Xenopus tropicalis: one gene and its partner. The protein of the gene in region 1 purifies or fractionates together with the protein of each later gene. This does not show direct contact. Links are inferred from orthologs where the notes say so. Each region holds a gene or a part of one and is shown in the gene's direction. Other genes may lie near its edges. The genes, in order: lin28b and larp7.

Region 1 (4,604 bases):
TGCAGTCGGTCCCAGCAGAGACCTGCCAATGTAACTAGGGTGCAAAGAGGTCAAATGAACTAACAGCTGATAAGCTTCTAGCTACCCACTAAACATGCTTTGGACCGATCCTTCTGACTAGGCTGTCCCTAAAGCAAGACCATCTTTGCCAAGGACAGCTTTAGCGGACATTGTTAGTTTCGACTGCAGAATCGCTACTAGCGGGAGGCAGTTCTCTCAGTGAAGTACTACTTGTGTTCGGATAGAGAATGCCTGGCGTTCTGAAAGGTATTAGCGCCCTTCCCCCATAGTTGGGACTCGCACATCAATTGAGACAAATACCTCCTGGCATTTGGGAAGCAAGCTGTAGTGTTTGACCTCAAACTGGTAGGTCAGGAGCAGAGTTACATGTTCTCATCTTGGCCAGTGTACTTTCTGGGCTGGTTTAACTGCACCTAGAAATAATGGGCTTCCGTTTTGACAAGGGATCCAGCTTGTCCTGAGCTCTGAATTTGATGGCGAATGAATCTAGGTATATAGGTTACTGCATTAAATGATTGGCATCTCTAAAGGATTAACGCCATAAACAAGTATGATAGTTGAAATACCAACCCAGTTTCAGTGCATCTAAGGTGAGCAGGCTACCTTAATACTAGAAGTCTCATGGCCTATAATTTGGAAGAGAATTGTCTCAACATAATAGCAATATCGGGTCAGTGCGTAATAGATGAATGAAGCAGTGGCTAAAGGCAGGCCAAAATATATTGCCTTTGTTTAAAGCTCCTATTTGTAGACGACAAGTAAAACCCTATATAACATACAACATTCTTATTGTATGAATGGGATGATATAGGCACATCTCCAATAGATGGGTGCGTGCTCTGTCGCTCATTTAGCCCATTGTCCTTGCCTATTTCTAGCCCCCCTCCCCTCCGGTGACTCCCAAAGAACAATCCACGTTGATGAAGGCTTTTTCATCCCCCTCTCCCTTTCCAATGCTTGGCTCTTATTTAGGAAGTCATTAATCACATCCCCTCCCCCGGAAAGAGATGGCGGAGAAACCTGTGAAGTCTGATCCAGCACCCGCCTCTTCCCCACCCCCTCCTCTAAAAACACAGGGAAACCTCCACGTTTAACCCCACTGCTGCCACACCATGTGGCCATGGCACGGTGGTTAATTAAGTGCAATTCCCACCAGCAAATCATTGAGTCACCCTTTTCCTGGAAATTTCTCATTCTACATATCACAGATTAAAGTGGGCTATGTGATACACAAATGTAAAGACACGTTTATTGCACTGGTTATTATGTTTAGTAAAGCACACCAAAGAATCAATAACAAAGTATTTATACGTCAATGAATAAATCCCATCATTCCCATGTATTGTCAGCTGATATACACTAGTCATATAGCTGTCAAAAAGCCGTAGTACAGGCGGGGCATTATTTACTATACCAGTAATCTAGCAGCATGCACCGCCGATAAATGCGGGCAAAGTAACGCTACGTTATCTCCATACCGATCGGCGCACTGCAGGCTTGTGCACGAAGAGCAAATATGCACAGCCTCCTTGTAGTAAAATGACTTGGCTCGGCGTGTGCGTGTGTAAAAGCTTGGCGTGTTTATAAGGATTTTTTTCCCTCGTTCATTCATAAATGTTTTCCGTGGCAGCCTCGGTCGAAGTGGTGATTGGCTGCGCCCAGCTCTTGCCAGCCCCTTCAGGATCAGTGCTGAAATTAGCAGCAAGAAGGCATGTAATTGACAGAGTCACGTGTGCTGGAGGGGCCAGCGAGCAGAGAGCCGAGAGAAGGGAGCAACACAAGAGGGAGAGCACGCTAGACCATGCGAGCTAAATTTGGGATCGCTTCAAATCAGGATGCCACATTGATGCTACAGATCACCCCCAGCAAAAAGGAAACTTTTCATCTTTCGTCTCTAGAGCAGGAGGCATCATGGCCGAAGGTGCATTAGACGTATTCATTCCTGCTGTTTTCTGGGCTTTTTCCTTTCCCTCCGCGGATCGGCCGGTAGAGGGGCACTAGATTAGGAGGAGGGGGCACCTTCCAGCTGCTAGCAGATCACGCTTACCCTCGTATCGTGGTCGAGAAAGCAAGCACTGCTGTATTTTTTTTTTGGAGGCTTTTGTTTGAATTATCGGCTATGATCGTTTTTGCATGTATAAGTCATCCTAGGGTTTTTGTTTTCTCCACCTGTAAGGTTCGCGTTTGTTTTTCCAATTAAAGTCCACACTTGCAAGGGATGTGCACTCTGAAAACAATGTGTGATCCAGTGCATGGGCAATAACAAGTTGTGCAATAATCCTCATACCTCGCTTCACCTCCCTCCCTGCGCCGCCCTACACCAGGGCCGTTCTCTTTTTGAAAGTGCTTTATTCTCCTTCCCCTAGTATAGAATGGCTGGAGCACCGAACTGGCTAGCTGCGTTGCAAGCACATGGGTTTATAAATAAACACGCGGCGAGCAGAGATTAAAGGGTTTTTTTAAATGCCCAGTGTCCCAGTGGTGGGTTGCGCACAAGAACTAGAAGATGAATGCAAGTGTTAATGTGTTATAGTGTGCCATATTCTTTATGTTTGCTATGCTTTCGGAACTGATGCTTATTGTTTTCTCCTCTATTCTCTCCCAGGAGGGGCTGCCAGAGGTACAAGAGAAGAGCAGGGGAAGCTGCCAGAACAAGAAGAGGAGGAGGAGGAGGACCCCCAGGTCCTGCGTGGCTCAGGCCATTGCAAGTGGTTCAATGTACGGATGGGCTTCGGTTTCATATCTATGACTAGCCGGGAGGGAAGTCCCTTGGAAAACCCTGTCGATGTTTTTGTTCACCAAGTAAGTCTCTTACCCCCTCCTTACTCTCACCACCCACAAGGAGAGGGGAAAGCCACCCGCTTTGGAGTTTCTCCCCATTTCCTGGTGCAGCAGGAATGTGTGTGCTTAATAGACACTTGCTCTTTCTATGAACTCCACACTTTCATTGCATGCAGACACTGCCTTTACCTTTTTTATGGGCAATCGTTAACTCTGCGCTCCTGTCATTCATTGTATCTGCAGGACTGTTTGCTCTGCCTTCAATGGGTTAATCAGTGCGCCCATTTGTTTTTAAAGGAATCTCTTTTGAGTTCAAGTGAAACAGCCAATGAAGAGCACAGTCTGTGACTCCACCCTTTATCTGCTCTAAAGGGCTTGTTAGTTATCTAATTAAGACCATTAGATGTAAAATATGTTCTTATCATTCTAGCCATAATTGTCATCTGATTGCAGCTGGGTTCAGTGCTCAAGGTTGTTTCAGTGTTCTTTTTTAAAAGGTCTTAGGTAAGGTCCAATTGTAGCTCATTTTGCTTGCCTTAAGCAGTAAGAAAGTAAATAGCCACATTTGTTTAGGGCTGTGCGTTTTTCCTCTGTCTAGATTGGGAGCAGCAGGAAATCTGGTGTCAGCTGCTCTGTCTCTTTAAGGACATTGAAGTCAAGAAAGCATGTGGCCAGAGGCAGTTTATGTTTATGCTTTAACTAAGGAGTTGGCTGTTCTCCTCCTGCACTTTCTCCTGTGTGAAATCAAAGCTGCACTCCACAGTTTGCTCCATAAAAAAACTAAACAAAACCTAGGTTGCCATTTTCACTGATTAGATCTGCATATAGATATAATTGTTTGTGTAAAATGTCATGGTATTAAGTGTAATACCAAAAAAGCAAAAGCGTGCACATGTGATAATCCATTCTCAAATTGTGTCAAGAACAAGTACCTATAAGTGTAATGCCATGCGTTACAGCAGTCACCTGCAACTGTGCCTTTTTAACTGTTGCTAAGTCCAAGATCCCCCTACAACAATCAAATATTGTGATTTCTGAACAGCTGCAGTGACACAGCTTCTAGATTTTAGTTTTGCAATGTGATCTTCGTGTTGTTGACTATTGTTGAAGTGTATTTGGTATTTATTGCAACATTTAGATTTTTCAGTTACTGTTTACCTGAAATTAAACTAAAGCTACTTATAAAAATTCTACAGTGTAATCACAGTTGCTTGTACAACATTGAAAATGAATATGGCTTTTTGTAAGTTAAGCTATTATTGGAACATTAGTAATTATGACCCTGTGCATTAGTTCCCACTGTCATTTTTCAGATTTGCATTTGCAAAACTGATGATGCTGTGATTCTAGATAAAGCAACCCTGAAATTTGTTGTTCTGTCTTTCTATACCTTGAGCACTAATTGTGGGATCTGACAAGGGGAAGCAATCTTTATTGTACACTTTACTTCCTGTTGTGCCATAGACAATAGAATAAGGGCTGTTTGTTGCAAGCAAAGAACAGGGAGCTGAAGTGACAGTGGAACATCCTTGATACGATTTTTTTTTTTTTATCATTGAACCTCTCTTCACCTACATTTTAAATTATGCATTTTACTTCCCATTAAGGAAGAGCTTGTTTTTTGAAAGGCAAACTCTTATTTATACTGCTGCTTTGCCAGGCTTATTTAGATGGTTCAAAATGTCTTTCCATGCTATGTGTTGTAGAGGAGTGTCTTTTTGTGCTCAACCTTGACAACAACCCAGTTTAACACATAACAGTTTAACATATAACAGTTTAACATATATATATATATATATATA
Region 2 (3,822 bases), on another chromosome or scaffold:
GTCAGTGTGCAGATTACCATAGTGTACATGAGCTCTTTCCCAATATACACCGTATTTTTTTTTTTTTTTTAAAGAATTGTTTCTGAACCAGTTTGTGGCAGCTCAAGCCAATACCTCTGGCAACAAAAGAGGTTGAAGGGGCTAATTAAATGCGACTAGGCTTGATAGATTAACTCCATTAACTCTTTCTTACACCTATTGTTTTAACATTCCTTTGTCTCCCATTGCATGCATTGTAACAAATGCTGTCCTGGTGAAAATAATACATTTACATACATCTGCTTTTGTTACAAGAAGAAGCCTCCTTGTATATAGTGGCATGGGAATAATAATAGCTAGTTATGAATAATGCAATTAAATTATAATTTAGCAAAGTCTGCATAAATCAAAATTTGCCTTACATTTATGGCACCAATCCAAAAAAATATAAGCATGGGAGAAACCAATCATGTCTTTTTAAACAATCCAGAATATGTTTGTTATAATAATAAGCAGGCACATGGCTTAGACCAATCACAGAGGAGGTGATTAAAGTGATGTAAAGTTAACGATTCAAGGTATTGACTTTTTTTTTATACTCATTTTTGGGACCGTGTTTTTTTTTTTTTTTTTTAATCAGAATTTTGTGAAAAAGAACTGACTTTGGTCAAGGTTGAAATTAAAAAAAAAAAAAAATGTCTGCCTCTAAGACTTTCTGTGCACACTAAAATGCCCTCCAATAGCTGTTTTGTTTAAACATTGCACAGAGTGTCTTAAGCTAATGCCACACTTAGGGGCTGATTCATCAAAGTACGAGTTCGAATTCCAAAATGGGTAAAATTTGAATTAGATACGATAATTTTGTGATGATCGCAAATATCATCAAAATGCTTACAAAAAAACCATACTAATCACGATAATATTGTATTGGCGATCCGAAAGTCACAAAATTTTCATATCCGAACTATCGTAAATGGTGGGAAAACCTTTCCGACTTTGATCCTTCTGTGCATGATTTTGGAAGCCTCCCATAGGACCCAATGGCACTCTGCAGCTCCAACCCGGCCCAAGGAAAGTCCCGATACCGAAGCTTGAATGAATCAGAAACTTTCGTACTCGGCGCGGCAATATGATTTTGTCACAAATTTTGTTGCAAAGTATGAAAGAGTTAGAAAATATCCGAAAAAGTCGCAGAAAATACGCACAGTATGAACAAATCTGATTTTTTTTTTTTTGTATTTTGTACCTATCATACTTTAATAAATCGTCCCCTTAGCGTAGGTAGCGTATTCTCTGCAAGGTGAAAAACTGTTGCCACAAATATGCTACATACACTTAAAAATCCTCCTACCTGTGCCTGCACCCGAAAGAATTGAGTACACTCAGGTGCAGGCACATGTAGCCGATATCCACTGAAAATGCAAAGTCTCACGTTTTTTTAGCAGATATCGGCTGCATGTGTCTGCATCTGAATGTATTCAATGCTATCAGGTGCAGGCACAGGTAGGAGGATTTTCAAGCGTAGGTAGCGTATTCTTGGCATGCCGAAAATATGCTACTTACGCTATGGGGTTCGATTGAGTCCGAAAGCTAAAAATTCATATTTTTTTATAAGTTTTAGAACTGTGCGTATTTTCTACGATATTTTCACTAATTTCCGCAATTTTTTCATGCTTTGCATCAATTTGTGCGTCAAAATCGTATTTGTCACAACGAGTACGAAAGTTTTGGAATTCATTCAAGCTTCGGTATCGTGACTTTCCTATATATAAATAATTACCAGAAGGGTGGCACTCCGCTTTATTTGTATAACCAGGTGCACTGTAAAAACATAACACATCATTCAAAAACAACCAGCAACACTGGGATTTCTATGCAAATCAAAAAAATATAGTTAAACGTGCATATACAGCCACCAGGGAGGACCAAAACGTCATGGCTGTATATGCAATATATATTTGAAGGGAAAATAAGTATTGAACAAGTCAACGTTTTTCTCAGTAAATATATTTCTAATGGGGCTGTTGACCTGAAGTTTACACCAGATATCGGTAACAACCGAAGTAATCCAGGACTGATCAACAGTTACCACAAACATTTAGTTGCAGTTATTGCGGCACAAGGGGCTCACACCAAATACTGAGAGCACAGTTCACTTACATTTGCCCGCAGATATGTTACTGGATAATTTTTTTCAATAAATACCTGATCAAATATAATAATTTTTGTTTAGTTTGTTTAACTAGGTTTCTTTATCTACTTTTAGGAAATCAGATCATAAAATCAGGTCATATTCACTTAAAAATATAGGAAATTTGAAAGGGTTCACTTTAGACAATCACTGTATATACTGCTGGGTTTTTTTTTTTATGACACTAAATTATTCTCCTCTCCAGGACAGAATGGTTGGTCCTGAAGGCCGAATATTTAACACTGCAGCGAGCCAGCATGGCCTCTCTTAAGAAATCAATGAGTGAAATGAATCACATCTCTGAGGAGGAAATGCAAACACAACCATCCATGCAAAGCTTTGATATTAAGAATGGAAAAGGTATAAATAAATAAATAACTATGTGCTTATAATTATAATGGTTTTTCTTTAACTTGACAAATATGTAGATTAATTCAATTATCTATTTATCTACCAAAATGTTTTCTTATAATTATATAACTCTTTCCATTTCATATTTGGATTTAGTGGAGACTGTAAAGAATGAACCACTGGGACCACAGTTTGTGTGTGGTGTTATAGGGAAAATCACAAGTTCAGATCCTCTTCAGGGACGCAAATATGTTAAGGTAAATTGTCTGTGTTTCTCTTATCCTAATAATCTACCATCCTGCCTGGGAGCGCTGTCTCTTCACTCTGTTGGTACTGCTGGGTGCATATAATTATTCACTGCATTCCTGCAAAGAATAACACCTAAAACTTTATGCTACAGAAACAAGCAACACTTTATTTTGTCTTGACAATACAGGCTATAGATACTAGGTACACTTTTTTTTCTTTTTTATTAGTTTCCTACGATAAAGGTCTTCTACTGGGAGTGACTGATCTGTAAATGATTTCCCACTGGCTATAATGTAAATTGCCGGTTGGAAAACATGTGGCAATTGTTTTGTTTTTTTTCCCCTCATGTGGCATTATCCTTAGGAAAAGTATGGATACAAATGCTGTAAATCATGTTTGATCCTCTTTAAAAAAAAAATGTGTGCACTAAATAATTCCTGAAATTTGATAAGGGAACATTATTTGGTTTAATTGGATGATATCTTATATGGAAGTATTTCATAGTAAATAAATAAAATAAATAAAATCTACATTCATTCATTCTTTCATTTAGAAATTGTGTTAGTGTCCTGGGAAGTTCTGATCTATGAAACTTGTTGGGTGACATTGGTCACTTACAGAAACACTGAGTTGCTCTGCACCCACAATTCCCACCCAGTTTGGTACAATGCAGGGTGACTACTAGCAAATCTTGCTGATATTACTTAGAAGCAACTCTCACCCTTGCCCCACTGTCCTATACTGTATGTGTCTGTATGAGCATGTGTTGATGTTTGTAAATATAATAAATTACTTTCTCTTTTAACAGGATGCATTTTCAGGAGTGTGCGAAGTGGTCTATGTGGACATGCTGGAAGGTGATACAGAATGCCATGTACGGTTTAAATCTCCTGAAGATGCACAGACTGCAGTAAAAACTCGCTCTGATTTGCAAGGCAAACACAATTGGAAGCTACAAATTCTCGCAGGTAAGACTGCCTTTGGATCTAACTAGTACCTTCAGCCATAGGACACACTGGTCTGGTATAATGCATTTGGTGTAGATATAGATT

The links.
Region 2: the proteins of lin28b (region 1) and larp7 purify together in Homo sapiens (affinity purification with mass spectrometry; 3 studies listed by BioGRID and IntAct, with this or other methods). This does not show direct contact. The link is inferred for Xenopus tropicalis from reciprocal best matches to the Homo sapiens genes LIN28B and LARP7.

Annotation. Positions count from the first base shown.
Region 1 is NC_030681.2:80,099,749-80,104,352, forward strand, and holds the start of lin28b (protein lin-28 homolog B), read left to right. Parts: upstream 1-1,767; 5' UTR 1,768-1,932; coding exon 1,933-1,942; intron 1,943-2,626; coding exon 2,627-2,823; intron 2,824-4,604. UniProt on the Homo sapiens protein: Suppressor of microRNA (miRNA) biogenesis, including that of let-7 and possibly of miR107, miR-143 and miR-200c.
Region 2 is NC_030677.2:68,989,390-68,993,211, forward strand, and holds part of larp7 (la-related protein 7), read left to right. Parts: intron 1-2,375; coding exon 2,376-2,530; intron 2,531-2,677; coding exon 2,678-2,778; intron 2,779-3,578; coding exon 3,579-3,738; intron 3,739-3,822. UniProt on the Homo sapiens protein: RNA-binding protein that specifically binds distinct small nuclear RNA (snRNAs) and regulates their processing and function.